2 linked regions of the Oreochromis niloticus genome follow. The protein of the gene in region 2 interacts with the protein of the main gene of each other region in a biochemical or structural test. Links are inferred from orthologs where the notes say so. Each region holds a gene or a part of one and is shown on either strand. Other genes may lie near its edges.

The links.
Region 1: the proteins of cib1 (region 2) and map3k5 form a complex in vitro, tested with the Homo sapiens proteins (2 studies listed by BioGRID and IntAct). The link is inferred for Oreochromis niloticus from reciprocal best matches to the Homo sapiens genes CIB1 and MAP3K5.

Annotation. Positions count from the first base shown.
Region 1 is NC_031980.2:17,201,851-17,217,421, reverse strand, and holds the start of map3k5 (mitogen-activated protein kinase kinase kinase 5), read right to left. Parts: upstream 6,268-15,571; 5' UTR 5,705-6,267; coding exon 5,269-5,704; intron 1-5,268. UniProt on the Homo sapiens protein: Serine/threonine kinase which acts as an essential component of the MAP kinase signal transduction pathway. Plays an important role in the cascades of cellular responses evoked by changes in the environment.
Region 2 is NC_031972.2:57,581,719-57,597,089, reverse strand, and holds cib1 (calcium and integrin-binding protein 1), read right to left. Parts: upstream 7,706-15,371; 5' UTR 7,345-7,705; coding exon 7,294-7,344; intron 6,590-7,293; coding exon 6,555-6,589; intron 6,458-6,554; coding exon 6,358-6,457; intron 6,191-6,357; coding exon 6,037-6,190; intron 5,942-6,036; coding exon 5,823-5,941; intron 5,700-5,822; coding exon 5,611-5,699; intron 5,529-5,610; exon of another isoform or gene 5,526-5,528; coding exon 5,504-5,525; 3' UTR 5,305-5,503; downstream 1-5,304. Other genes in the region: unc45a (protein unc-45 homolog A), read left to right, coding at 18-145, 224-290, 395-508, 610-725, 1,295-1,412, 1,495-1,650, 1,741-2,028; rccd1 (RCC1 domain-containing protein 1), read left to right, coding at 3,315-3,522, 3,628-3,843, 3,942-4,101, 4,232-4,353, 4,430-4,531, 4,620-4,790, 4,877-4,906, 5,021-5,202; titin, read right to left, coding at 11,389-11,423, 11,537-15,371. UniProt on the Homo sapiens protein: Calcium-binding protein that plays a role in the regulation of numerous cellular processes, such as cell differentiation, cell division, cell proliferation, cell migration, thrombosis, angiogenesis, cardiac hypertrophy and apoptosis.

The sequences.
Region 1 (15,571 bases), on a different chromosome or scaffold from region 2:
CTGGAGATATGGAGAAGCACAGACACAGTTTAGTGATGGACATGTGATATTTGTTATCCAGATAGCAATAGACGATCCACCCGCAAGTCAGTCTTTATTAAATAAAAACTGTTTTTGCAACAGTCTATGGCAACTGCATTTTCTCAGTAATTCAGGGAAGTTTAAACCTGATTTCTCATAAAGAATTTCATTATTTCTGCCATTACCGGATAAAAATGCTTAATGAGATTTACAGAAAACCTCTGCTTTAATGTTCCCCAATTTAACCATTTCTAATTTTATCTAATATGAGCCATCACTCATAGATAATGCCTCCGTTATAGCTGAAGCAGAGGTGTTTTACTCCGTTCCTGGCAGCCTAATATTACAAATTCACATTTTTTAATGAATGTCTTACCGATAAATCTTTACAAACATGTTATAAGAAATGTCTCAGCTTTTGTAGACTCTGGTCTCATAGATTTAAGATATTTTAGTATTGTTTTAGAAGGTTGAAAGATTTTAAATCAAGAATGTTTGCTGATCTTTTACAGATATCTTTGGTTTGATCTGGTTCTGAGACTGATTTAGGCGATTTTCAGTAGAAAACATGTCCAAGTTCAGATTTTGAATTTGTTGTTTGACATAATTTAATGACTGAATCTGAAACAATTTTACTCACAGTCAGACCGTCTGAAGCCAGCATTTAAAAAGTAACTTTAAAATACATTTAGTTTTGTTTTAGTCATTTCAGCCTTAACTTTACTCAGATATTCACATCACAACCAAGGTCCAACCGTGACAGTCATTTTTCCATCAGTGTGACTGATTACAACACAGCAAATGAGTCAGAAACACGGAGACTATAAGTGCTACAGGATTCTCATAATTAATCGGCAATATGATCGCTGTCTCTGTACTTATTGATTATAAAAGCAGTCGTGTAATTTACAAAGAATGATGAAGAAACATCTAACCGACATTTCAGTGTTTGTAAAAATGGAAACTCCTGTTAAAGAATTTGCTTCCCTCTGAGCTTTGATAGCGACTTTATGTATGAAGAAATGAATCGGAGCATCAGCACATGGTTCACGTACGGGAGGGGAGGAAGAGTCAGAGAGAAACAGAAGAAAACCTGCCAGCGAGCAAGTGGCATTCTCAGAGTTTGTCACCCTGTTGACTGACTCAGAGTTTAAGTTGAACTACCTTCTGAAACAGAAAACTTGTCTGAGGGTGAACAGCCTCAGAGTCCGTAGCTAAAGCTTCTTTCACTTCACCCTCTGCCAAAGATATCAAGAGAGAAACAACTCAAGCACTGAATCCTGATGACTTTGTGTCTCAAGTATAAGATGGGCCATCACTGAGGCTGGTATTCCAGACTGGGGGCTGAGAATCGGGCTAATCACAAAAAATAAATAAATAAAGGAAACACCTTCCCTGAAGCCTGATATACCACATGCTGTTAAAAAGACAGATGAAGATTACCTCATGGGCTAAGGGAAAGCATATATTTAAAAACAACAACCGGGAACTGGGAAAACAAAAAAGATACAGTTGATAAAGAGTGTGTTTTTAATTTAAGACATTTTATATAAGTTATTCAATTTCCAACAGCCTCGATTAGCTGACAGAAATGTGGACCTTTGTTTGGATAGAATTAATCGTCTAAATTCGACCATTCAACTGAAAATCTGAATATTCAACTCATATCCACCCATCTACAGCACAGCTACTCAGGAGAGGCAGTGGGATGAGAAACATGGCAGTTAGGGCATATCTGCTTCTTTTTTTGGGGTGATTTTTACAATAGTTATAATAACAAAAGTTTCAATATATATCAAAATCAGCAGGATGATGAAGTATGAATTTATGCTTCATATTTTACTTCTGTGATTTTGTCCTTTCTGTAATTATTAGTTCTAATAATTGTCATTTGTAATCAGCATGTTTTTCATAATTAACACATTTTTTAATTTTTAGAAATAGATGGCTTTAACTAATTATCCGCTAACATGCTGTATTTTTTATTTTGGATTAAATGACATTCACGGCTTAATTTCACACTTGGCTCAAAATTGACATCTTATAAAGAAAAATGACATATTGTTATCCTACCAGCCCACTTTTTATGAACTGTTTTGTTTGGGAACAAAATGACTGCAGCTGGCTAATGAGGTCATCGTTAGCAGTCATAGATGGGACTCGTGAGTTCAAGGTCCTCAAAGGGTCAGATTTTTTCTGGATTTTAAGTATATTATTTTTAGGTTTTAGAAAGCTGGTCAATAAAACATCATACCGAGTGCCTGTAAACTGTATATGTATATATGAATACAAGTACAAATGATTTTTTGAAAATGTAATTCAGCGTTTCTTCACAGATGTTAGTTTGTAAGATTTCACATGTGTATTTGGAATTTTTTAATGTTTATTTTTGTATCCAACTGAGAAAACAACATAATCTGTGATCAGTTTACTAGCAGACAACGTGCTCTCTCTTATTTTGAAAGTCCGATCACTGCTGGCAAACCAACCTTGGCCCTTTCCCTCCCGTGTTTTACCTACAGACTGGCTCGTTGGCCAGGTTGAACTCAATATTAATTAGTTGCTTCTCCAGAGAGGCTTCTGTCACACAGTTGGATGCACTCCAACTCCACTCTCTTGCACTGCAAATGGCCTTGCTCTGCTTTGGAGATCTGCTGTGAAATTTACTGCGGATGCAGAGCAGAACAAGGACCACTATAATCTTGTATAGTTCCGTGACAAAATCCACACATACGGTAAGTATCTAAATTTTGAAAACACTGATAGGTAGATATGTAATCTGTTCACATCTGTTTTTTTTTTCCTCCCCCCACTTATGTTGGTTAATATCATGTGATCAGTGGTATAAGTAAGACAGGCACAGCTACACAAATATGACTTCAAATCTGAATTTTGACTCCATGAATAACTGGGCTGTAGTGAATAAAATTCCCAGTGATAAGATATGGTTAGCTATCACTGTTGCCAAACTTTTGCATCTACACTTCCTGTGTTTCATGTCCTGAGGGTTTCACAATCAGGCTCTGCCATCTTTCAGCCAAATACCCTCTTTGTCCACAGCATCATGCGGGGAGGACATGTAAGGACAGTCAGGAACAGCTTTTCATTGTATCTGAAGCAGACACATCACGCTTCCAAATGACAGAAACCAACAAGCTCACTCAGGTTTTTTGTTTCTGGTCTTTCGTCTGCAGGAGGATAATGAAGAAGTGGTGTGTGAGTGAACAGATATAGCAATGTGTGTCTGGGAAAATGCCACAGCCCTCCCCTGTGTATTATGAGAAAATTCCACGGTAGCTCAGAGGAAAAAGACCAAACAAAACACTGGGAACATGATGTGTTTGTGCAGCCAATAATATGAGAAGCAAGAAGCACGTCGAGCATGGAACAAACAATACACCTGTCTGCCTTCACTAGTAGGCTCTGATGTTGGCAATATAAGTGCTGTTACTGCAACTAAATATGGTTAATTCAGCTCTATTTATAATCAGTTTATAATCACTACATTGCTATAGTTGGATAAAAATGTTATTACATATACTTTTTCTATGCTACTTTTTGCATAGTATTAAGAATTTGTTACGGTTTAACTCTAAATTTTGCACAATTATAAAATGTTCATAAGCACCTTGGTGGGGCTGCTGACCTTGTGTCCTGATTTTCATTACTTTTTGACAGTTGTTGCTAAGATTTGTGAGGCGGCTGGGTAATGCATTGTTTAACACACTCTCCCTTAGCTTGGAGTGTCCTTCTACAGTGCAAACATATTATTGTTGGGTTGAACTGGTTGGGAACTTGTTGGGTCTAAACTGGTCATAGGTGTGGATTTAAGTACAAATGGGAGTGGAATTGTGACCTGACCAGTTACCCGCCTCTCGCCAAATGTCAGCCGGGATTGGCTTCAGCTCCCTGTGAGCTTAGCTGGATGAGTGGTTAAGAAAATACATGGACCTTTTATTAGTGACTGCTAACCATTGTGACCTTAGAATTCATGCTTTTGTTTTAAAAAATATATTTTTTCCCCCTATTGACTTAATCTTAGTTTTGTTACTGTTAACACTGATACATTTACCATTAATAAAACAGATTTTTTTTAAAGGAATTTTCTAGGTCTTTTATAATAAGGAAAAAAAATGCATCCTGCATATTGACTTTTATACATGTTGATTCTTTTATAGCTCCTGTCAGGTAAACTCTTTTTACAATATTAATAATGAGGGAAGCAATGATTGTGTCTTTAGGCTACCAGAGTTTGCAAGTAACCCCCCTCAAAAACAAACAAAAAACCCCCAAAATAAAGTTAGCATCATTTGCAGAGACGCCACTCTTTGAAAGGCTTTGACGTGTCACACTGTTTTATATTTACAATATCTGCTGAACACGTACTGATACAATCTTAATGAAATGCAAACACTGGCTGCTGTTTCTGGCTCTCAAACACTCTGACCAGTCATGTGCATTATAGTTGAAGAGTTTTTCATGGCTTAACCAAACCTTTCCAGTAGTATTTGGAGCCAACTGCTACATATACAACATGAATTAGAGGTGGAAAGTGCTTTCAATCAAGGGATTCAAGTTTGCTTCTCTGTTAGCAGATTCCAGTGGAAAGACCAGGCTCATGGCTCAAACCGTGACACTGAAGCACAATGCCGAACCCCACAATGGAAGAGGGGAAACTAGCCATAGGAGGGGGAACTCTAGCAATAATCCCCACATTAGTGGAGCAAATGATACAACTTCTCAGCAACTGTTGTTCAATGAGTTCCAGCTTTGTTCAGTGAAGTGTACATACCACTGTGATCTAAAGGAAGCAACATCAAGCCATGACATGCAGAGCAGTGAGATGTATTTAGGGAGCCCAGAGCAACCTGTCCTGCAGGCATAGTTTCCAACAACAGTGGTGATGCAGTAAACGCTACTTTCGAGCCCCTGAAAATAATTTAGGGGAGAGGTTCTTGTGCTACTCTTTCATGAAGTAAATGGCATTCATGGGTCACTGACCTTTAGTGAGGTCCACTGCGGCTTAATCATTATAATGGAGAGCAAAGATTAAGCCTAAAAATCAATTTAGAGGATTGATCTAAAATCCCAACAGGCTGCCGTTAAGGCTAAAAATGACCTCATCTAGGAGGTCATAATCGTAGTAATCACTTTTATAAATGTTTGTCTTCTCACTTGCTGAGGGCGGTTTGGGAAGCTTGTTGTGGGTGGATGTGGGATTTATAAGCCTTTCTTCACTTGACTCACCTGCGTTGTAGAACCTGTCCAGCACGGCGGTCTCCCCGAAATCCAGTTTACCAAAGTTCACTGTCTCTAGCTTGCTGCCCACAGAATCGCAAGCGTCCTTCAGACACTGCAGGGCCATGCTCTCATGATTATTCTGTTGGCTGGCCTCTCCGTTCACCACATAGGCCACTGTTACCGGCCTGCTTTTGCAAGACTTTCCGGTGGACAGCAACCCTCCGGTGTCCAAGGGGCAGCTCCCGGAGATCGGGCTAAGTCCCCCACCTCCAGTCCCCGAATCATGCCAAAAAGTCCCAGCTGCGGGGATTCCACAGGCACCACCAACACCACCACCACCACTGCTGTTGACGCTTGTATTTTCCCCGCTGAGGTTCTCTCTGCCGGGGCAAGCACCAAAGGAAGGTACCGCTAAAGAGATCCCGTCCTGGTCTTGATTCATCTTTCTTCAAGTGTCTTTTTAAAGTGGGGATTTCGATGAGTGGCTTCTCCACCAGTCCTCCATGGAGAGCCAGCGTTACGCACGGCGGTTACCCATGGAGCCTCTGCAAAGGCACGACGTGCAACTCTGCTCCTTCCACACAGGTAAACAGTCTGTTAGGAGCAGAGGTGCAGCTCCACATCATGCTGCATGACTGCCGTTGATTGCACGCTTACAAAACACGCGAATGGGGGCTGCAGGCGGACCGAAGTCACGACGATATCCGAAGAGAAAACACAGGAGGAAAAGCCACCAAATCCGCGCATTCCGTCTCAGCCGTCGCAAGAAATTCACATACTTCTCAAAGTTGAGCAACACAGCCACTGTTAGTGCAGCAACGCCCACGAGATCCACAAATGTCACACCGAGTCCAACTTAAGCTCACTTTAAATCCTCCGATCAGCACAACGGCTTCTCAGCGCTGAAAAGAGAAAGCACACCACGCACGCAGTCAGGGTGCCTTCATGTGTAGACAAACCCTGCCCAGTTTCCACTGTTATCTTCCAGGCCAGACTCACGCACTGGGCGGAGAGACGATACTCGGAGCCTGGGGTAGTGGGGCGGGGACACGATGACCATATGTGGAGTTGTGTACTTCAGAAAGGGAGGAGTCCCTTTGAAAACAACCCCCAAACAAAACCGCCCAAACGTCTCTGTGAGTCAATAACCTGTCATCTGGAGCGAAGGTAAAAATGAATAGGTGATTTATTTATCAGCTTTTTCCCGAAAATGATGAAAATGCGGGAAATTAGAGATCGCAATCCAGAACAAAAACACCCCTTTAGGACATCAATCTCCATAATGACTACATTGTTTTGTCGGAGCTGTGAGTTGGAAGTATTTCATAATCCTGCAAACTAATTGCATCGGTTTTGCCCATTAATCTTCTGACCCGCATGGATTAGGCCCCACGGTGACAAAGTGGTTGTGAAACAGGTAAAAGTCTGAGCACATGACCATGTGACTTTGTAAATCCTCTGGACAAACGCTAGAAGTGACTATTATTAGTAGTGATTGAATTAGTTTACAATAAAGCTATCCGGGTAGGTGGTCTGCTGTTCAGACGTGGAAGTGTCATCCATTTATGTTTCAAGGAGGCCCTCTTGTGGTAGGCACTTGATATTACAGTACATGCGGGTAAAGTATGAATAGCCTGCATTTTATACTTGTGCCATAAAATACTTTTGTCCTTTATTAACAAATACATAGCAGATATTTATGACCTCTAGAAAGAGAAAGTGCTTTATTTTCTCTGTAGTAAATTAGTCAACAAAGACTTATGTTATATTGACAGATGAAGTCAGCAGGAGTCTCTGTGGACTATGATGTCTGCAGAGAACATAACAACCTGTAGTGAGAGTAAGGAGTAGGTGGAAGAGAGCCTAGAGAGTTGGAGGTATGTTTTGAGGAGAAGAGGAATGAAAATCAGGAGAAGCAAGACAGATTACATGTGTGTGAATGAGAGGGAGACGTGTAGCAGTCAAGATGTGAGGTAAGGTGAAGGAGGATGATTTTGAATACCTGGGACAGGGTTGGTGTGACAAAATAGGGTGAAATGGAGGGAGATGATAACTGTGGTAACTCCAGAATGAAGTAGCTGAAAGAAGTTGAATAAGATGCTGAAATCAACGATGACCCCAAACAAAACTTGTTTGTCAGAACATGAGGTACAAATATGAACATACAGTATTTATATGTATGTGACAAAGGGTTAACAAATACACAAAACATAGCCATTGCTTTTAAATAAGGAAAGAGCATTCTTATCTCGGGGGAAATTCGTCTACACTTTATTTGAAGACATGAATTTCCTGCAGGGCTATTTCAAGGTGAGACGAGTCTTAAATCACTGAGCTTTAATGATTTTAACATTTTATCACTGGAGAAGGGGCTAATGTAGCACAATGACAATGATGTTATTAGAGGAGTGAAGGCAGACATGAAAAAGGCTCCCATTGGAAATATTCAGTGCTGTTACGAAAAGTAAAAGAAGATAAGGGGAAAGAGCCACGGTGAATCCTTTTTTTTTTTTTGCCATTGTGCTCTTGTTTTGCCTATAGGCTGTTGTAGCTTTAGCACAGCATAAAGCTAAGATGACAGGAAAAAAAAGTCCAGGAAGGAACAGTAATTGTAGTTTTACAATTACACACTTTAACTGTCAAATAACGCCAACATTTCCATATTTAAAACAATACAAATTCTGCTATTATAACTTTTAGAGCTGCTGTGACTAATTAAATACCATCAGAAAAGGCACTGAGCTCTCTGCTGCTCAGGGTAAACAGGTTACATTACAATGTTAGTCTTCAGGGAAGAGTCTGTTTAAATGATTGCGCCCCCCCCCCCCGAAAAAGTGTGCTTTTCCTTTTCTGCCACTAGATGTCTCACATTGACCGTGGTTGAAGTTTCACTCAGCAGGGTTTTAGTGACAATGCTGCCAAACCAAACACATCCACGGGGCTGTGTGATTTCTTTAAACACATCTGTCTGCTCTTCATCGTTTAGCTGCGGGCGAATTACAGATCACACCAGCCATTTATCCATCACCGTGTCTCTCAGTCACACTGGAATCAAATGGAATGAATGTCGAGGTTACATCACTGAGGCAAATTACACACAATTGAATGCAGTGAAAATGTATTTTTTATTGAATTAGTTCTTGTTTGTATACCTCTTCCCTCTCCTGCTGATGAATTCACATAAACCTACATACTTCACAGATAAATTTAAGTACATGTTGTCTAATAAAACATAAAACAAACGCTTGCAGATAGATGTCAGCCTTTATCTCATTAATAAAAAAATAGACTAAAATAACAATAAAACACTGCAAAAGAAAAACTACATATGCTTTATTCTAAACAATGAAAACTAAGCTGAAACGAGCAAGTCCATTCTGGAAAGGGACTTGATACCCAGCAGTCATAGAATGCAATAATTTCTGTAGGACTTATCTTCAACATAGAGCTAATGTAATGTGCCACTACGCTAAATGTCCCCTATCATATTAAAGAATTAAAACTAATTATTACACATTCATAAACAATTTTTAGCTCACACTGGTGAAGGTAATTGCTTTTTCCATATTGCCTGTAGTCTTCAATCATGTATTATATAGTGTGTAAAAATGATGATGAGTAACTTACCATTAAACAACATTTTAGACAGCTGATTTTATACCCTGTCTCACCTTTATTACCTTTATTTAACCAGGAAGTTTCATTGAAATCAAAGATCTTGCATACAATATAAAATACACGATCTAGGGAAAATTACGGCATATGTAATCCAAAATGTCGAGAGATCAAAATCAAAGTATCCAAGTTATTTAGTTATCCAAAATTAGAATTTGCTGGGCGTAAATTGACATTATGCCTTTTATCACATGGATATTCTAGGAACCTCTGAATAAGCTTAATTTATCTGATAAAATTTGGTTTGAAGTCTTGTTATTTTTTTAAATGTAATTTATTGAATCAATAAACACAACTTAGTAAATGTTAATAGTTAAGAGTTGCAATATGTCCTTCAAAGGAACAGTTGTGTTGTTCACTCATCCTCGACAGACAGTAGGGTTTCCCTGGCAACACAATACAACAAGCCCTGCAGCTGTCATCATATACTGATTTCATTTTTTGCTATACTGTTAAATTCTGATTGGCTTAAGAAAATATGTGACATCACGTGTTTCCAACACAACCATTCCCACCTTAGATCTGTGAGAAGTGACAGAACAAAAATATAAATACATGAAGCTCTCACCAGAAATAATCCTAAAAAAGTGTATTTTCATCTAAGGCAAAGGGAAGTTGATGGATTAGATTTTAAGGGCCTTTAACTACTGAGAAGTGAAGTATTTGACTTATACCCTATATTTTATATAATATATTTGACTTGACTCAAGCTGAAGAGAAAGTTTCCCTTTAAGGGCTTTAAAAAAAGGATTTTATGGCTACTTGAAGACCCACAAACATCTTATCACTTTACAGCATTTGGGTATATCAGCAAACAGAATAACGCTGTCTTGTGAAGATGTTCTTGCTTTTGGCTTTATTTGGCCCTCTATGAGCTCTGGAGTGAAATATGTCTCTTAAGGTCCTACATGTTACACTAAGATGACATTTAGGCTCAAACATTGTCTCTCTGCTGTTTGGTGAGGGCCAGTCCAAACATCCATCCATCTATCTATCTATCTATCTATCTATCTATCTATCTATCTATCTATCTATCTATCTATCTATCTATCTATCTATCTATCTATCTATCTATCTATCTATCTATCTATCTATCTATCTATCTATCTATCTATCATGGTAGTGGACACAGCAGGGTAATGAGACATGGCTGGAAATCAAGGAAATTAAAAAACACAGGAATTAAAACTGAGGACAAAGTAAAGCAAGTAAAACAGGAAGCAACAAAACACAGAGATAGGACACTGACACAAATGCAGCAACTTGACATAAGGGAGAACTACAAGCAAAAGTTGCAGAAAATGGATTTAAAAAATAGCAAAAACTAAAGACTATAAATCCTAAAAACTGAGCCCAGAATATAATCATAAAGAAACTACCCAGGAAACGCCTACTATGTACAAAACTCAGGAGTCATGACAAATGAAACCCCTTCGATTCTGTTTGCTTTCATTATTTTCTATCCGTCTTCTCAAAATTTTGGCTGATTCTTAAAAGGCACCAAGATAGAGCTGGCCAGCACCAGTATCAGCATAAGCACTTGCTCCCATTGATGGAAATGAGGTATTCAGGGCTCTTTAACATGTTTCAGGATACAGGGATGTAAAAGGTTGTAAATATATTTAATAAAACCAAAATCTTGTCCTAAACCTAATCAATAAGATTTTGAGCCCACACCTTTGGTAACGTGTGGGCACTTAATGTTGTTTCAAAAACTTGAGTTGGAGTACTTGTTGGGCAGGTCCTGGTTATATAACAAATCATAATACAGTGATTAAAGCAGCTGCTTGATTCTGTGCAGTGATGCAAAAGCACTTTAGGGGTGTGTCAGTATGCCGTGACATCACTAGATATAGTCAGAGGTGCAACCAGAGAGTGCAGTAAAACAATGCTTTTCAAGCTAGTATTAAGTCACTCTTAAATTAGGAGTTGCCAGATAAAAATGCACATAATGACCTTTTGTATAAATGTCAAGTTACATTTGTGATTGCCATAGGGCTGTGCTATTTCTCAGCATGGAAAATGTTTCAGAATGCATGCAACATCTAATTAAGTGTAAAGACTTTCATATATTATAGGGGAACAAGAAACAAACAATATACAGTGCGGCGTAATGAGTGAAGTTTGTAAGGATGAGAGTGTAGTTAACCATCAATAGGGTGTCCACGCTGCGCCCTGCAAATAAAGCTTTTCATTCTGCTCTGCCACAGACCATGAAATAGTCACTCAGCTCTGAAATAGAGAGAATCACTCACATGGAGAAACAGCGAGAAGTTCGGTTAGTTCTGCAGTGCAGGTAGGAGATAGATACTTGGAGGCACAGACTTATTGCAGCCCTCCATAGATATCTGCCAAAGTCTACACAAACATTAGAGGGAAACGGGGAAACAAAATTACAGAAATCTGCTAAGTTTGACAAATGGTTGGCTCCGCTTTGCCACTAGCTATTAGCCGGCAATGATTAATAAGTGAGAAAATAATTGCACTTCATTGAGATTGATGACGCCCCATTTAACCTCCCCACTCATCCTGGCTGCGCCACAGAGCACCAAGATGAGCCTCGGACACACTGCTGCTCTGCCGGCCTCATTGGCATCAAACACACACACACATAGGTACACACACAGGGACTGTAATGATCCTATGGGGCATTTTTAGGAGCCTTGTGGCGCTCTGATCATAAGTTCATTGTTAATAAGTGAAAAACAATGATCTCAGCTCTAGGAGGCCTCTGGGAAGCGCTCACTTCACCAATATAGAAGCATTTAAGTCAAACACCGTGGGGAATTAATGACAGCGGAGTCACCATTAACTGCTATGCTAACGAGTTTGTGAGCTTTGGCCCTCTTGTTAGATGCGTCTTCCTTGTGCGTGCGCGTGTGTGTTGGAGCGCTTGTACTGGAGAATCTTGTCGATCTGAAATGTACACGGTGAATGTGTTTGAATGTGATTTTCACCGGTTTTAAATGCAAACAAAGCGGCGGCGATCAGACGAGGCACGAGGAGTGCCGCTACGCCTTATCCTCTCAGTCTGTAAAGAGACATGGCCAAGGTTATTAAAGAAGGATGTAGCAGAGCAAGATGGCCGCTGTTGTGACCAGAGGCGGTGTGGAGAGATAAATGGTTGACCCAGCCTGGTGTCAGGTTAGGATTGATGCCACTATCAGCCCCACTGCTTTCCCAATGATTTTCTCAAATCTCTGATAGAGTGTGTTATCTAGTTACTGGCATGAGGGCAACGGCCTGCAGGCACAGAGAAGGTCAATCTATGAGGACAATCTTTGTTGGACTAAATGAGAAAAAAGACCTCACAAAAAAGAATAAAAAGCAGCTGCTAGGTCTCTGGGATAAGATAAGCCAAATTACTTCTCTTTAGTAGAATTGGCCTGAGGCAAAACATCAAAAAAAAAAAAAGAAGAAGAAGAAGAAAAAAATTAAGTGAGGCTGGTGTGCTCTCTAACTTTAGTGTTGTAGATTTCACCTGGAACCTCGGCTTCCTTGAACTAATTTTGATTCAGCGGCAGCAGCACCTTGAGGAATGGGCTGGGCCAGTTTGTATTTGTCTGCTGGTTAATCTGCATTCAACAAATAAATCTCCTAAACAGGAATATCCAGAATATATAACACCAGTCAGCAGTATAAACTGGCTTGCAGACCATCAAACTTCTCCATAATCTCACTCAATCAACCCGCTTGCTCTTTGTTTTTTTCAGATCTGGGCAAAAGGGTTTGACTAATAGGTTGTAATTTACCGGCTGAGGTCTTGATCAATAATTCTATGTCAATAATGATGGAGAGGTCTGCGCGAGGGGAAATGATTCCACTCATTGTCTGAGAAAAATGAAGGCCTGGACATCACCCCAGGCTTCGGGCAGATGTCCACAGGTTCTCTGCAGCTATGACGGTTGAGTCAATGAGTGAAAAGACAAATAACACACATGGACACACACATACACACAAGTTTTTATCACAGTGTGCGAGATCAAAACTTTAAAACACACAATTACACACACATATTTCTCTAATGGATATACTTTTCACTACGATTTTTTTAGTCAACGGGCCTTTCTCATGACAATCTCATTTTGAAAGCAGTCTTCTGACAGAAATATTGACCGAACGACTATAAATGGAGGGAACAATCTGCTTCTTTATGATCCAGAAAATTGCTAAAATGGTTTCAAGGAAATAAATAGCCCATCTTGATTCCTTTCTGATGTGGTGTGAAAATATAGTTTGTCTTATCTGCATGTATACAGCACATAAAACAAAAATAACCAAGCCAGATGTATCTGTGTATCATAGATTTGTAATTACTACTAAAAACAGACATTAACTGTAATTATTTTCAAGGTTTTCTAGTGGATTATGTGTTAAAGTCCCAATTTTCCATCCATCCATAATTCAGCATTACAGGGCTGTCTAATGGTGAGAGACACGGTGCACGTTTTGGACAGGTTACCAATCTGCTCCAAACTGTTTATCTGGTAAACACCAGACCAGATCAGCTAGCTATAAGGTTGCTATAGACAAGCACGAGGGTGGTAGCATCATGTTATGGGTGCTTTTTAGCAGCATGTATGGGCAGGAATTTCAGCATGACAGTAACACAAACAGCTACATTTCTGTTTGTTCGTGAGCCAAAGACCAGACTTAAACACCAATATGGAGATACCTGAAGACATTTCACAGACTGGGAAATCTGAATATGATAAACCAGGTGTGTAAATGTTTTAGAAACATAACATAACATTACTCTCATAACTCTCTTTCTGTTAACTTTCTCCCCAACTTCCCTTTCTTTCTTTTTTCCTTTTCCGTGCCCTGGTCTTGTCCGTTGTGGTTGTAATAACGCAACATAAAAAATCCTAATAACGCTTATATTTGATTTGCAATTATATTTTCTTTTATGTGTTCATTTGTCATTTGTTAGTTTTGGACAAAATAAGCTGAAGTGTTTTTTGCATTATGTTTTGTCTTAAAACTTATAGAATAAGTTTTTGGGGGGCATCATCATTAAATAACCTGGATCTTGCATCTTACACTTGTTCTGTGGTTCCATGTTTTACAGTCTTAGTAATAAAATATTAGTGAGACTTCCTGTGGCGAGGAATCCAGTATGTAGCTACAATCTTGATAAAAATCTTCTCAAGCTGCTGCAAGTCAGGATCTAATGCCTTCATCTGTCAGTCAAAGATAAACGTTCTTGACTCCAACCGACAGAGTTCAGGGAGTTTCTGAAAGCAGTCTAAATATTTTGAGACAAGCTTTTACTGAAACACAAGACACAACAGACCCAGAGCTCAGACTGTGGGCAGCATAGTAAGAGGAAACAAATGATCTCATATTCATTCAATTAAAACAGAGGTGCTCAATGTGATCGAGGCAGCTTTCACTTAACCTTTATTTCAAAACAATTCACTTCTTGTGATACAAATGTTAAAGTTAAATGTAATGTGCTCATTGAAAACTAAGCTAAAAAAATAAGAGGATGATACGTGGATAGATAAAACAGCAGGAACAGCCCCCAAAAATCTAAAGCAATAAAATTAACTCTCGAGACAGTGCACAACTGGAGGGGAAAGCAATTCATGGCTCTTCATTGGCTTGGCATTGCAGGAAGGTGCCCCTTCATGAATTTTGTCTCCTAGCAAATACTGAAAAAATGCCAAAAAGCTGCAGTATGGTGGGACACTTACAACATGCTAATCTCAGGAAAAGAGCTAGATGACAAACAACTATTACTTAGGAAAAATAGTCTGGGAAAAAAGATAAACCTGAAAATGTACATGTGATGTGGAAATAATAAAATGTAGACACACACAACTTAAAAAAGGTTTATTTGAGGTTACTGTAAAAAGAGCTCTTTTAGAAGTCCCTCATAACACTCCCCTATATATCTCACTACGCTACAAGTAGAACTAGGAAGAAGTAGGAATCATCCTTTTCCTTTCATAGTGGAAAGCTGTTTGTAGTACAAAAGAGTAACTTAACTAATTAAATTACTACACAAATACCAATGCACTGAAGCTCATGCAAGATAATGCTAAATGTAGTTAAACTACTAGTTTAATTTCAAGTAGCCGACTACCTGACTACCCTTAAAACAGTGTAAGAAAGTTAGAAGGTCTAGAAAGACTTTTATTTTGAAGAGACAGTACCCAACTGCTAAATGCACATCCATAAGGTCTTTGTAAGCCACTTTAAAAAAAATAAATTTGGAGTATTTATGATGCTTTCCACTGCAGTTTCTAACAGAAGCATGCACTCAGGCAAAATGTTTTGGTGACTGCTTGGAAAGCTTGAGAAAAGAAAAAAAAAATCTGTTTGCCCACAGAATCCAAATTCAAGGAATAAATGTTTTAACATTTAAAAATAATTCAGGAGTAATCCATTCAAAGTAGACAGGATTGTATGCTACTTCTTCTCAAATTTTATTAAAATTGACCAGATCTCAATGAAAAATATCACCTTTTACTTGGAATAATTAGAAGTCGTTCAGGATTATTTTCAATTTGTTAACTGTCAGAAGAAAAAGATAAGGCAGCGGGAGAAAAAACCCCCACTTTGGTGATCAGATGTCACCTTCTAACATGTCCGACCCATAAGGGGACCTTCATCCTGGCTGGCTGCC
Region 2 (15,371 bases):
GTTTTTTTAAATGATAGGATGCACCTTCCTATGTAGAGAAAAGGTTGGTGAAGCTGCTGGAGGCTGGTGTGGTGTCTGCATTGGTTTGCATGGTCAAACAGGAGAGTCCTGCTCTCACTGAGGCTTGTAGGGAATGTATTGCCAGGTAGGAAAATGGCAGTAAGTCTTTATCTTTCACTGTTTTTTCTATAGATTTTCTGGTTAATATAATCTTTCACGGCAGGGTGTTCTTGGCCTTAGTGGAGCGACAGGAAGACAGAGGCACAGTGGTGGCACAGGGTGGAGGAAAGGTAGAGCGTACTGATAAAATACACTCAGTTTAGCCTACGCTCTTAACTAAGCACCACACTTCAGAATGCTTAAATGATTTATGTCTGCTGCTCTCCTCCAAAAGGCTCTGATCCCACTTGCATCCGACAACACAGATGCAGGAAAAATCAAAGCTGCACAAGCCCTGGCAAAAATAACCATCACATCTAACCCGGAGATTGCCTTTCCAGGAGAAAGGGTAAAAATGCAGACAGTAACACACAAGTTAACTTAGAAAATACAATAACTTTTTAACATTATCTTGCTTTTGTTTGTTGTTTGTGTATTTTTTGGGGTCAGATCTATGAGGTGGTACGCCCACTAGCCAGCCTTCTGAGGCTTGAGTGCACCCTGCTGCAGAACTTTGAGGCACTCATGGCTCTCACAAACCTGGCCGGCATCAACGATAGACTCAGGTTCGCCACTAGGGGGGAGTCTCTCCTAAGAATATTCATACAAAACAGTCTATTTTCGTTCCAGTCCATTACATTTAGCATACTTTTTATTTTATTTTATGTTTTTTACATTTTCTTCATTTTGCAAAGCTACTTTTGCAGATCAATACATGTGTCACTTTTATTGCTTTGCATAAAGTATTTAGATGGTGTGAAGTCCTCCCATCAAACCTGTTTTTAAATTCTTCCAGGGTGACCACAAGTGACTGAGATTTAATGTGGACTTAATCACAGACTTGATTAACATGCAGTAATCTTCTTGTACGGCAACTTTCCAAACTGTTGACAAAGACTGAAGCATTTAGAGTCTCCGTTGACCACTGAAATCTAATTTCCTGTCAAAGCTGTTTTCACTGTAGAAGCTGATAATTAACACTGAAGTTGTGCAGTTATGCAAAGCATGCCAGGTTCTGTTTTATTTTTTACTGTTTTCAAAACATTATATCTGCCTTTTAAAGCATCTTTTATCCTGATCAGCGCAGTTTCATAAGTGTTTTTCAGTTTTCTGAATTAAGTATACTCTTTCACAGGCAAAAGATCATCAAGGAGAAAGCTGTACCTAAAATTGAAGGTTACATGTTCGAGGAGCATGACCTCGTACGAGCTTCTGCCACAGAGTGCATGTGCAACTTGGTTTTAAATACAGAGGTAAGGCATAATTTATTAACAAGTCTTTGAATACATGAATACCGGTTGAACTGACAGTAGCGGCTGTGTGGTGCACCCTTAGGTGCAGAAGCTCTACCTGGCCACAGGAAATGATCGCCTGAAGCTGCTCGTGCTTTACAGCGGAGAGGATGACGAGAGGCTACGGAAAGCTGCTGCAGGAACCTTGGCCATGCTGACAGCCGAACAGCCAGAACTCTGCGCTCGCATCCCTGGAACTGTAAGAAAAGCACTCCAGTCGTGTCGCTACCATTATTTATTTATTTATTTTACTCTATTTTTGCTCACATGACTTCTGTTATCTTCTCAGACAACCCACTGGCTAGAAATTGTGCAGGCTTTGCTGCTCAGTGAAATACCTGACCTACGTCATCGTGGAGTGGTCATAGTTCAGAACATGATCCTGGCAGAGAAGAGTCTGGCTGAGAAACTCATAGAGAGCGAAGCTCTGGAGATTCTTTCCGTCCTTGCAAAGGGAGGAGAGGGCACGCCAGATGCTGTCTCGAAGATAGCTCAGAACTGCCTGGATAAAGCAATGGAGTACGGCATCATCAGAAGCAGGGAAGAAAAGAAGAAGAGCTCAGGAACTGAACCCTGAACACAAAGTGCAGTGTGTGAATGTGCCACCTGACAGTGTTTCAGAACTTCGAACGTTATATTGGACCAGTGAAGTAATTTCATTTTTGCAGGAAATGGGCTCATGTCTTAACAAAAAATGATTAAAAGCAATAAGGGATGTGGTGAAGAATGGTATCAAATGGAAGAACCAACAGCACACAAATGATTTTTGACTGCTGTGTAACGTTGATTGTATGCTTGCTAAAGTCTGGCAAAAGTGCATATTCCACCCAGAGACCAACATTTCTCCTCCATGTATTTTCACTAAAAATGATCATTCCTATATATGTGCAAATATTTAATTTGACTGTCATTAGTCCCACAAATACGTTCTTATTTTTATTGTGCACACTACTTTTCTCAATATTTTATTTTATTTTCAGCAAAAATAGAAACATTTCATTTACACTATAAAATGTACTTTTTGTTTAAATGTTTGTTAGCACTATTATTGACAGTCCAACACATTCCCTGTGTGCTTTGTTGTTTTAATACGTTTTAAGTGAACACATAAAAATAAATAAATAAATAAAAATGACCAATCCTCACTTCTCTGTTTACTTTATCTGATATCCAGCCTTGCTAGATGTACTTTATAATGGTGCTTTAGTGCTGGGATGCCCAACTATGTTTATCCCTCAACCATGAAAGGCATTGTCATCACCCTGCTGGGCAGGCAATAAGGATACCCAACATTTTGAATGTGATAACTTTAGAATGAAGCAATGTAGGAGTTTCAAATTGATACCTTAAGTGTATCTACTAAAAATCTCTGAGTTTGAATCTCAGTTTTCAGAAAATATTGTGAATGCAATAACTGAGAACAAAGATAGGATGTTGAAATTGACATCATAGGTACAGCTGCTAGGAGGATTGGGGGGGGGGGGCCACTGACTGCTCCGAGTATTTTTATATTATTAAAATGGCCATTCTACAACTTTGTCCTATCAAAGTTTGTGATGCACAATTTATAATTTATGGCAGGGGTTAAAACTCAATTTAGTTCAGTGATCATGTACAGTCCAGCTGATCTGCTACCTAAGTGAGCCAGGCCAGTAATACATAACAACCTGTATCAAAAAAGCCCATCTTAAATACTGTCAATAAACATGAACTTGGTGTCTATCTCTTTAAAGACGATTTAAACCATATGCTCCTCCCTCGCCACTCGTCATCATCTCTCGCCGCTTGTGCTCCTGCAGTACGAAAACAAGCGCAGCCGCAGGTAAGTTTGCGGATTCTTCCGCTGAGCGGCACGGTGTTCAGATGCGCTGGTTTGGTTTCGGCTTCAATGCCTTTGGACAGATACGTGTCCAGGAAAAGTCAGGCAGAGGAGAAAGTAGCAGCGCGCTCCACCAAGTTAAAGTAACTCACCCAGCAGAGCTCAGCAGTCACGTGGATAAAAGTGGATGCTGCTTGAAGACAAGTCAGATCAGAGTGAGCTGGAGTCGAAGAGCATCTTTACATTTAGATGGTGAGTGTATCAAAGACATCGCTCTGAGTTCTGAGGAATAACATGTCTTTAATACATCTATTGCTTTAGCTTAGCTCTTACGTTGTTGTTTTCTGTTTCTGTCAGGAGACAGCTGCCTGAGCCTGGCAGGCTTTGGGGAATCGGTCTCCAGTGAGGACTGTGGTATTTCTAAAATAGAGAGCTATGGTTGTAAAGATGTATTCATCAGTGAATCGCACTTGACCCTGGCCTTCCCAGACAGGATTGAGACCTGGGATCTGCAGAAGAGGGAGAAGAGTCCATCATGGAGCATGGATATAAAAACCCACGCAGAGGGCTCTGGTAATGTGTATGCTAATATCTTATCTGGCTAGACAGACATTAATAATGATGTATGAAATTACAGAGTCTCAATATTACTTTTTATTTATTTTTTGTAGATGTGAATTTGCCATTGGTCCCTGGGGGTTACATTGCCTTAAAGCCTCCCCTCTACTGCACCTTACCAGGACACCTGAAAGCCAGGAGCCTAGCACTGGGTGCAGAGCATGCCGTTCTTCTTACTGCCACTGGAGCAGTGTACAGCTGGGGACTGGGCAGGTGGAGCCACTTACACATATATCTTTATTGAACATATGAGAAGCAGCAGTTTCATGCATAAACAACAATCAACAAACAAACGAACAAGCATAAGTTAATCTTCCTATGCGTGCATGTGTTTATGTAACAGCCATGGTCAGCTGGGGCATGGAGTGCTCACCTCTGAGGAGGAGCCCAGAGTAGTGGAGGCACTCTGGGGGATGTCCATGACCCGTGTGGCTACAGGAGGCTGGCACTCAGCTTGCATTAGTGGTAAATGTCAAATAAAGATTTGGACAAGTTACACTCGGTTTGAAAAGGATTTGAAGAGGATCGTTTTTGTTCTTAGATGGGGGTGACCTTTATGTGTGGGGCTGGAATGAGAGCGGCCAGCTTGGACTTCCTTCCCGAGGTCTGAGGAAATCTCAGCAGAAAAGTAGTCAGCAAACAGGTCTGTCCTGAAATGTGCACTGCTTTAAAGAGTTATATTGAAGAGGCAGTTTTTACATCCATTTTGAACCACTGACTTTATCAAACAGGAGAATTGTGCTATGATACCAGTACACCAGCTGATGAAAAGCTAAAGGAGGAAGAGGAGCATGAAGATGTATTCATATCAATCCAGGCGTTCCCTGCTCTGCTGGATGTCTCTCCTTCATGTGAAATCCAAACAGTAAGCTGTGGTTCCCGCCACACAGCTGCAGTAACAAGTAAGGAATGTCTTTTGGCAGTTGTTTTACAGGGATGCACATTTCCTAGCAAATAAACTAATTATGTCACAATTTCTTCTTTTCAGCCACTGGTGACCTCTATACTTGGGGATGGGGTGAGTTTTGGTTTTAGAAACGTGTTACATCTAAGTGAAATTCTCACAGCAGCATCATTCAAATCAAAGTGAATGCCGAGATTTTAGGCTTCTTTGCCTTTATTACCTTTCCAGGGGAATACGGCCAGCTTGGACATCAAACCGTAACTAGTTCAGATGAGCCGCAGCGTGTGGAGTTTTTCAGGGCTGAGCAGATGCGTGTGCTTGATGTGGTGTGCGGGACATGGAACACATTTGCTGCAGCTGTAAAGGAGGAAGTAGCTTGTGCTGAAAATAGCACAAAATGCACTTGTTAAGCACAGTGAACTTTGGACGACAGTTGTAAATTTCTCCTACAAACACAAAGAATTAACTAAATTTATTTGTTCATTTTTTTTCTCTATAAAAACTCAACTCAATACTTTTTGGTGAAACTTTTATTTTTTCTTCAAACAGATGTTTAAAAAGGGTTTATATTTGACAAATGACATAAAACAGTTAAGGCAGCAAAATCCACAGGTAAATATAATTTAAGGCAAGTAATTAAAACTGTTCTGATTTAAAATTATACACTAAAATTAAAAAGGTGCATGCATCTCCAAGGTCCACTGGAAGTCTTCAGAGCACAATCTTGAAGGAACTGTGGATAAATCAAATGAGAATCAATTGGACACTTATAAATGCAAATAATTATTGGTATTTGGAGCAGCTGGATTTCTAGTTACCTGACAAAATCTGGTGACCTTGAAATGACGTGCTGAAACTCTGAGAGGTTCACAGTTCCGTCCTTGTCGATGTCTGACTCTTCAAGAATCTAAACAACATGCAGACACGGGAAAGAAACACATTGTTAGGCTTACTGACACATCAGTATACCACCCCACACGCAGTTTATAACCACCCCTTACAACTATAAAGACAAACTCAGTAAACTCACGTTGCTGATGAGCTGCTTCATTTCCGTGGAGGAAAGTTTTGCATCATTTGTCTCACCAGTTAAGCAGTTAACCAGCTTCTCCAGATCAGCACAGTCAAGGGTTCCATCATCATCAAAGTCTGAAAGCAGCAGATTAGTTAGCATTACGTAGACTGACATCTTTGCATGCAAAAATAACTATATCACTTCTTAATCAACTTTTTTTTCTTTTTACCAAATATGCGGAATGCATAGTGGGATTTGATTTCCAGAGTAGCAGAGTCGCTGAAGGCACTCAGAAGATCCAGGAAGTCCTCAAAAGTGAGGCTTCCATCTTTTTGTTCAGAGGTAGAGAACACCCGGCAGATTCTTTCCTTGAAAGGGTTGGACTGTAACAGGAATGAGTACAAAGGTCAGAACAGATTACCAGCCACTGAAGCACTTCCTTCACAGCATGAATTACAATATAATCCCATAAACATAGAAGTCAAGCATTAACGAAAAAAACAAAACAAAAAAACACTGTAATGCACATGTTTTGTTAAAATCTTTTCACCTTGAGCTCAGGCAGAGTGATAATCTTGCCCATTGGTACTCTGGCATCTATTTGGTCTTTTTCATGTTTCTCAAGCAGTTCTGTGAATCTCTTGTGAGCACTGCAAAAAAAAAGAGAAAAATATATCACACATTACAACAAAGCAGCAGAAGACAAAATGTTTTTGTTAGTATGATGACTTGCAGCTTGTCACTTACAGAAGAATTTCTTGTTTTGTCAGGAAGGTCAGCTCCTAAAAATATATGTAAGGATTAGTCCTTTAAATATTTTTATAGAGAAGTTGAAGAGCTTCTTGTTCAAATAAACAGGCATCTTCCTCTTAATTTAACAAAAAAAATAAGTAAAAATAAAAGAATATAAAAAGTGGTACATTAAACGATAACAAACAGTATTCAACGGAGCTTTGAATAAACAACCAAACAAAGACAAGACAGCCCGGACCCACTCAGTGCGTACCTGATTTTAATTACTGAAGTGTTCAAACGGGAGATAAAAAGATGACACATGAGCGCTTATTTTAACAATAAGCGCTTCTTTCTTCTTCCAAAACAAAGGCAAAGTAAATGTAAGCATCAGTGCAAAGACAACAATCACTTATTAACATAAATTTGTAACTTTTACCCTCAAACGGATGTTTTTAAAGAGTCTGAGCAACAGTATTGGTTATTACTAGGCTAGTGACCGTAACTTGTTTTTAATAGTATTTCCACAGACGTTACATATAATCACTACGAATTACATAAACTACAAATGTAAATAATATTGGTTATTTGAGCACCAGGACGCTTATCATTTTATTTCTCATTTGAAACGTCAGGCTAACATAGCTATTACGCTCTTCCTTTAACGTTATTACAGGGCGTAAAAAACACTTCCACTCGTCCATAAAGAAAATAGGTAAAGTTTGCCTGTGGAGACTTTGCTTTCGGGACTTACCTGATATTCTGAGAGCGACTCTTTCGAAAGTTGACTCGCCGTAGTTCCCATGTCGAAGTTTTCAACTCCAAATTGTACTTTGCTGTAGTAAACAGTAACCCGCAAAACTACTGAACGACTAATGTTTTCTGCTTCGCTTACTTCCGGTTTCTGACTAGAAGCGTCCACCCCTTGTCGGGTGTAACGTAGCGGTTTCTATAGTGACGTATATGCAAAACCTTTAAATAAAAGTGGCCTTTTTTTCTTTGGAAAGTTTGAAAAAGAAAAACTCAGTTTGGTTCCTGTTCACAATTTTGTCATCATTACTTGATTTTCGTTGAGATAACAAAATAAAAGAGGAGACCGACTGGAAGTGGGTAAAGGTCGCTGATGAAATAAAGATACTAAAAACACTTTATTAATTAAGACGTGAGCAGTGAAATGTACTCAAGTACAAGGAGTAGCTTTTATTTTTATCGTAGCATAAAAATAAAGCCCTTCGAGTCCTATTATTGTGGGGTCTCTAGCGATAGAATCACTAGTATCACAGTAGATTGTATCACTCTAACCAGTCCAACCCAGTTCCACATATTACCAAAGAAGACAAAATAAGGTTTCCTTTCTTTATTTGTATAACTACGGTTATTCGTGAGTTTTATAATCCATTAAATTACACAACATCTTTTTCTGAAAAAAACCCCCCTTCTAATACTATCACTGATCTGCAACCCAATTAATCATACTTGCAACCCCATGATCATATATACAAAACAAACATTACAAACATATGTTAAAAACATAAAATATTATTGCACAACATTTCTATGGTCCTGAGTATTTACTGGACACATTTATGTCATAATCTAAAAATAATAGTAATCCATTCAACCCTATTGTATTATTTAAAAATAAATAAATAAATTGTTTCTTTAGCTCACAAAGGCTTAATTTATTCTCTTTGTAGTTGTTTAAATTATTATTTTAAGTGTATTTAAGCAAAGATATCAAAAAGATTAATTTGCAAAAAACATCACTATTTATTTTCAGTAGATTTTGAAAGTTGCTTAAATTAATATAAACCGAGACTTATCTGAAACTGAATGAGTATTCAGTATGAGGGAGACTACTACTATCTTCTCACAGTCCAAAGACATGCAGCAATCAGTGGGGTTAGGTTAATTGGTGATCTTTAAAGTAAGAGTGTGTAAAATCTCACCACTAGATGTCTGTAGATTGCAATCAAATGAATTCTGTTTTCTTACCCCTCCCAATCCAAGTGCATAATTGTAACTATGGTGGCTGCTATAATATGACAAACTTGTTTTAGTCAACCAAGGGAGATCAGAAACTTAACACTTAGACTGTACCATAATATTAGCTTATAGTCGACTGTTGTTGTTTAGCTGGCTTACAGTGGCTTGCAAAAGTATTCGGCCCTCTTGAACTCTTCCACATTTTGTCACATTACAGCCACAAACATGAATCAATTTTATTGGAATTCCACGTGAAAGACCAATACAAAGTGGTGTACACGTGAGAAGTGGAACGAAAATCATACATGATTCCAAACATTTTTTACAAATAAATAACTGCAAAGTGGGGTGTGCGTAATTATTCAGCCCCCTGAGTCAATACTTTGTAGAACCACCTTTTGCTGCAATTACAGCTGCCAGTCTTTTAGGGTATGTCTCTACCAGCTTTGCACATCTAGAGACTGAAATCCTTGCCCATTCTTCTTTGCAAAACAGCGCCAGCTCAGTCAGATTAGATGGACAGCGTTTGTGAACAGCAGTTTTCAGATCTTGCCACAGATTCTCGATTGGATTTAGATCTGGACTTTGACTGGGCCATTCTAACACATGGATATGTTTTGTTTTAAACCATTCCATTGTTGCCCTGGCTTTATGTTTAGGGTCGTTGTCTTGCTGGAAGGTGAACCTCTGCCCCAGTCTCAAGTCTTTTGCAGACTCCAAGAGGTTTTCTTCCAAGATTGCCCTGTATTTGGCTCCATCCATCTTCCCATCAGCTCTGACCAGCTTCCCTGTCCCTGCTGAAGAGAAGCACCCCCAGAGCATGATGCTGCCACCACCATATTTGACAGTGGGGATGGTGTGTTCAGAGTGATGTGCAGTGTTAGTTTTCCGCCACACATAGCGTTTTGCATTTTGGCCAAAAAGTTCCATTTTGGTCTCATCTGACCAGAGCACCTTCTTCCACATGTTTGCTGTGTCCCCCACATGGCTTGTGGCAAACTGCTTATGGTTTTCTGTTAACTATGGCTCTCTTCTTGCCACTCTTCCATAAAGGCCAACTTTGTGCTGTGCACGACTAATAGTTCTCCTATGGACAGATTCCCCCACCTGAGCTGTAGATCTCTGCAGCTCGTCCAGAGTCACCATGGGCCTCTTGGCTGCATTTCTGATCAGCGCTCTCCTTGTTCGGCCTGTGAGTTTAGGTGGACGGCCTTGTCTTGGTAGGTTTACAGTTGTGCCATACTCCTTCCATTTCTGAATGATCGCTTGAACAGTGCTCCGCGGGATGTTCAAGGCTTGGGAAATCTTTTTGTAGCCTAAGCCTGCTTTAAATTTCTCAATAACTTTATCCTTGACCTGTGTGGTGTGTTCTTTGGACTTCATGGTGTTGTTGCTCCCAATATTCTCTTAGACAACCTCTGAGGCCGTCACAGAGCAGCTGTATTTGTACTGACAATAGATTACACACAGGTGCACTCTATTTAGTCATTAGCAGTCATCAGGCAATGTCTATGGGCAACTGACTGCACTCAGACCAAAGGGGGCTGAATAATTACGCACACCCCACTTTTCAGTTATTTATTTGTAAAAAATGTTTGGAATCATGTATGATTTTCATTCTACTTCTCACGTGTACACCACTTTGTATTGGTCTTTCATGTGGAATTCCAATAAAATTGATTCATGTTCGTGGCTGTAATGTGACAAAATGTGGAAAAGTTCAAGGGGGCCGAATATTAATATTAATTATAATTTTGCAAGCCACTGTATTGTCATCTGTCTGGACACAACAGGATTGCATGTCAAATCTGCTGACTAGAAGAAATTGTGACAATATCAGAAATAAATAAGCACATTTATCCATGTTTTCATGTGTTTTCAGTTCAGGAGATGGGGCTTGAGGATGCTTATTCTGTTGTCTCCTTTCTTTGTGTTTTTGCTTCTTCGGTGAAGGGGACCCCTTCTCAGATGATAAAACATAGGTCCTTCATATCGTGAATCTGAATTTACCTCTATGTTTTCTTCTCCTCCGTCTTTGGTGTATACCCTGACCTGGACAAATCTACTTTTTTCATGTTTTTTTTTTATTTGTTTTTGTATTTTTAATACAGAACAGAATTTCTTTTAATGTGTCAGTTCTTTTTTTTAACCATTTCTAAACTCCTCCAGAAATAGTAAAATAAAAAACAAACAACTATGGTTTTGGGATTAAAAGTGTTCTTGCTGGTTTTCCTACCTCTTATAAAGTAATATTGTCTTGTCTTTTGTCAGCAGCATAAATACCATAGGTGAGAGAATTTTTCAAGTCAACCCAAAGCATACATATATGTTTGTCCGACATGTTCAGAAAGAAAAAAAAAATCTTTGGCATAAATATGATCAGGTTACTTCCCCAAACAAAAGACAGAAAAGTACGGGGACATGAGACTAACTTGTCAACTCGTTATACTCTGACTCTCATGTCAGGCAAAAGACAAAAACATATCTGCATGTGTTTTATCCCAGCAGGGATAACGTTAAGCAATGCAGAATTCCAGAGTCTCTGAATTTTTGTGTGCTGCCTGAAAATGTTTTCCTTTACATAAATAAAGACATTTGAACCATAAAGTTAGAAACTGATACATCATAATTCATCAGAATGGTTGTTCACCAGCATGAGCTATTAATAATAACTTTTTTTTATTGCCTTTGGGTTTTTTTTCAAAGTTTTACAAAATATGTTTTGATTTGAACTCAATCGACAAAGAACATCTTAAAACAAAATTGAATGTATTCTATTTTTATAAAAAAAAAAAGAAAACAAAAAAACCCGATGAATATCTTCTCCAAATTTCAGGAGATGATTATCTTAACGTGGGGCAAGCTAGGCTCCTGGATTTGTCTCCCAGTCTGTTGTATCTAAAGCAAAAACAGAGGTAAAACAGCAAGTAAAAGTGTGCAGGTGAACTTTTAACATGAATTTTTGCCAAAGAATTCTTGTAGCTGATGGTGTGTTTAATCTTAAGTGTTACCTGTCATTTTTGTTCCCTCTCTGGTCTCAGCTGGAACCCCAATCCCGTACTCATTTTCTCCTGTGACTCTAAAGAAATAGATTCCTCCCTCCTCCAGGTCGGACACCTTGTAAGACAATCGGCGACACTTGTCAGTAAGTCTTATCCATCCCGTTCTGCTGATGTCTCGTATGTCTACAAGGTAGTTCTTCACGGGAGACCCTCCCTCATTCTCAGGAATGTCCCAGGTAACAGTGGCAGAGTTCTTAGTCACATCTTTAACTATTATATGAGCCGGGGGACCAGGTGAATCTAAAACCCTCACATTTAGGGTCAAAGAGGCAGCTCCAGCAGCATTTTGCAGTTTGACAGTATATTTGCCAGAGTCATCACGTGTTGCTCGTTCCACTGTGATAGAGGTGGCAGAGCTCGTGGTGTTGATCATTCCTCTGACTCGCAGATCAACATCTGCTTTCCCCCATGACACACTGGGAACAGGTTTGCCTGTGAAAGGCACCATCAATGTGAAGGAGCTGCCACATTTAACAGGCAGAGTCTTTCTCATCTCAGGGTTAATGTGAATCTCGGGCTTCTCCTCTCGCTCTGTAGCTACTTCGGGGTCTGTTTCTGGGCTAGGCTCACTAATACCAACTTTATTTATGGATCTGACAGTAAAAACATATGCTGTCCCCGATGTGAGTCCAGTTACTGTAAACTCTGTCCTATCTGTGTTCTGAACAGCAACAGTCCAGTCTTCTTCTGTTGATTTTCTGAATTCAACTTTGTACCCTGTAACTGCCGCTCCACCGTCAAACACCGGTTTGTTCCATGACAGAGTGATTGAAGATCTGGATGAATCAATTATAGTCGGCTTTACTGGAGGGGAAGGAAGAAACTTTGGATCCTCTGCCAAGGTGAGTGGACATGGCAAACTTGGTTCACTTAGCCCAGCAGCATTCTCAGCAAAGACTCTGAATTCATACTCAGATCCCGGATGCAGACCAGAGGCTTTGACTCGTAGGTCATAGACTGGCTTCTTATTGACCCTGACCCAACGGATACCCTGCTTCTCCCTTTTCTCTACAATGTAACCGCTAATGCGGCTGCCACCATCAGAGGCGGGCGTCTTCCAGCAAATAGTCATTGCTTCATTGGTTGCACTTGTGACCTCAACATCTGTTGGAGAAGATGGGATGGTAAAAGGATCCATGGCCTTGACTGGGTCACTTTCCAAAGTCTCACCCTCACCATATTTATTGACTGCCCTCACCCTAAACAGGTATTCGTTTCCTTTGAGAAGTTTGGTTATCTTGCAAGTAGTTGACATCATGTCACCATACACAAGGGTCCAGGCAACACGGCTGGTTTCACATTTCTCAACAATGTAGTACATGATCTCCGCCCCACCAGTCTCATGAGGAGTTCCCCATGAGAGGGTGCACTTTTCTGCTGAAAGTCCAGAAACTTCGAGGGGTCCAGCAGGTGGACCAGGCCTGTCTAGTACTTTGCAGGTGATAGCCTTAGATGTGGTACCCCCTGTATTCTGGAGAGTAAGAGTATACTGCCCAGAGTCTTTCCTAACAGTTTCTCTGATAAGCAGAGAGGTATGCGTTTTTGTTGCAGTTATTTCAACTCGTCCTGTGGTGCCAATATTTCTACCATTCTTCAGCCAAAACACTGTAGGGTTGGGGCGGCCTGAGATGACAGCTTCTATTCTTAGGAGGTCTCCTGCTTTGACAACCACCACCTGTTGAAATTTGTCTTCCAAGATAATTTTGGGTGGCTCTACATTGTGCTGTGCTGTGACAGGTCCGGTTGTTTCAGAGGGTGGACTGAAGAGCTCCGCTGCATTCTTTGCAATAACACGAAAGTTGTACTGTTCACCCTCTGTGAGGCCAGTCACTTCAAAGAAGGTGTCCAATAAGTTTGTGAAGTTACACTTAAGCCAGCAACTATCAGGCAGTTCTTTGCGCTCAACAATGTAACCAGTTATTTTAGCTCCACCATCATATTCTGGCTTGTCCCACAAGAGAGTTACTGAAGTGTTAGTTATATTGGTGACAGTGAGGTTGCCTGGGGGGTCACACTGGTCTCTAGCTGCTACAGGGTCAGATGGCTTGCTACAGGGTCCAACACCTGCCATATTCTCTGCACACACCCGGAACTCATATATAAGACCCTCCTCAACACTTGTCACCTTATACTGGTTTTCCGTCACTGGGCTTTTGTTCAATTTTTTCCACAGAATACTGCTTTGATCTTTGCATTCAATGTGGTACCCAATAATAGGGCTGCCACCATCACTCTCCGGTTTGCTCCAAGCAATGACCATAACAGACTTTGAGGCCTGCACAACATGAAGATTGGGTGGTGAGCCAGGTGGCTTGAAGGGATACTGAGCAACAACAGGCTCTGACTCAGTGAACTGGCTCTTTCCATAGCGATTCTCTGTAGCAACACGAAACTGGTATTCAGTGCCTTGTGTCAGACGGGAAATTTTGATTGACGTTCTTGCAACTGTAGCTGATACATTCTGCCATAATGTACTGCCTGTATCTCTTTTCTCAACAACATAATTAGTGATTTGACATCCACCAGTGTAATGTGGAGGCTGCCATGACAGAGACACAAAGTCAGCACTGACATCATCAACACTGAGGTCTGCTGGAGGACCAGGCCTTTCAAAAACATTAACAAATATTTGAGCAGAGGTGGTTCCAACGGAGTTGGTCAGGGTCACCTCATAAACACCAACATCTATCCTGGTTGCATCTTTGATAATGATCTGAGATGACGTGTCAGATGTGCTCACATTTACTCTGCTTGTCTCTTTCAGTGCATTGCCGTCTTTTTTCCAGGTTGCTGTTGGTGGTGGTACCCCTTTAAATGGAACATCGATCTTTAAATCATTTCCTGCCTTCACACTGAATGTGTTGGACAGCAGACTGATCATAGGCTCAGTACTGGTATCCTTTACTATCACAGGTGCCAGCAGGCATTTTGGCTCACTCTTTCCCTTCTCATTCACTGCACACACTCTAAAGAAGTACTCTTTTCCTTTTGTCAGGCCATCAATAATTGCATCGAGCGCTTTACTCTCTGAACATTTTGTCCATGTGTCATCTCCCTTAGCTTGCATTTCTACAATATAACATGTGATTTTGCTTCCTCCATCATGGGCTGGCTTTTCCCAAGAGAGTCTTGCACTACTGCATGTGACATCGTTGAGTGTGATCTTGCCAGGAGGCAGGGGCACCTCAGAGACTTTAATAGCTTCTGTGGTTTCTGCTGGCAGCCCAGTGCCAAACTCATTCACAGCCAGGACACGAAAATAATAGAAGCATCCTTCCTGTAAATTGTCGATCTTATATGAATTCCTCATGCAGTTGCTAAAGACGCTTGTGAATGCTTTTCTAGTCTCCTCTCGCTTCTCTACAACGTAGTGCGAAATCTTTGCTCCTCCATCAATCAAAGGTGGCTCCCAGGAGATGGACACAGAATCCCTCTTTACATCCTTTACCTCCAAGTTTGTTGGTGCGCTGGGAGAGTCCAAAACTTTCACATTGATGAATGCTGACTTGGAGCCACAGCAGTTCGAAGCCGTCAACACATACTTCCCAGTATCATTTCTGTTGACATTTTCAATGAGTAGCACAGTGTAGGAGCTTGTTACCTCGATCTGAGCTCGCTCACTGAGGGTGTCACCTTCCTTTGACCATTTAACCTCAGGCTCTGGCCTTCCTCTGATGGTAACAAAGAGGTGTAAAGTGGAACAGACTCGAACGCTGACAATCTTCCTCAAGGCAGCGTCCAGCTCAATCTCTGGTGCCTCTACTTTTTCGGCTGCAACCACAGA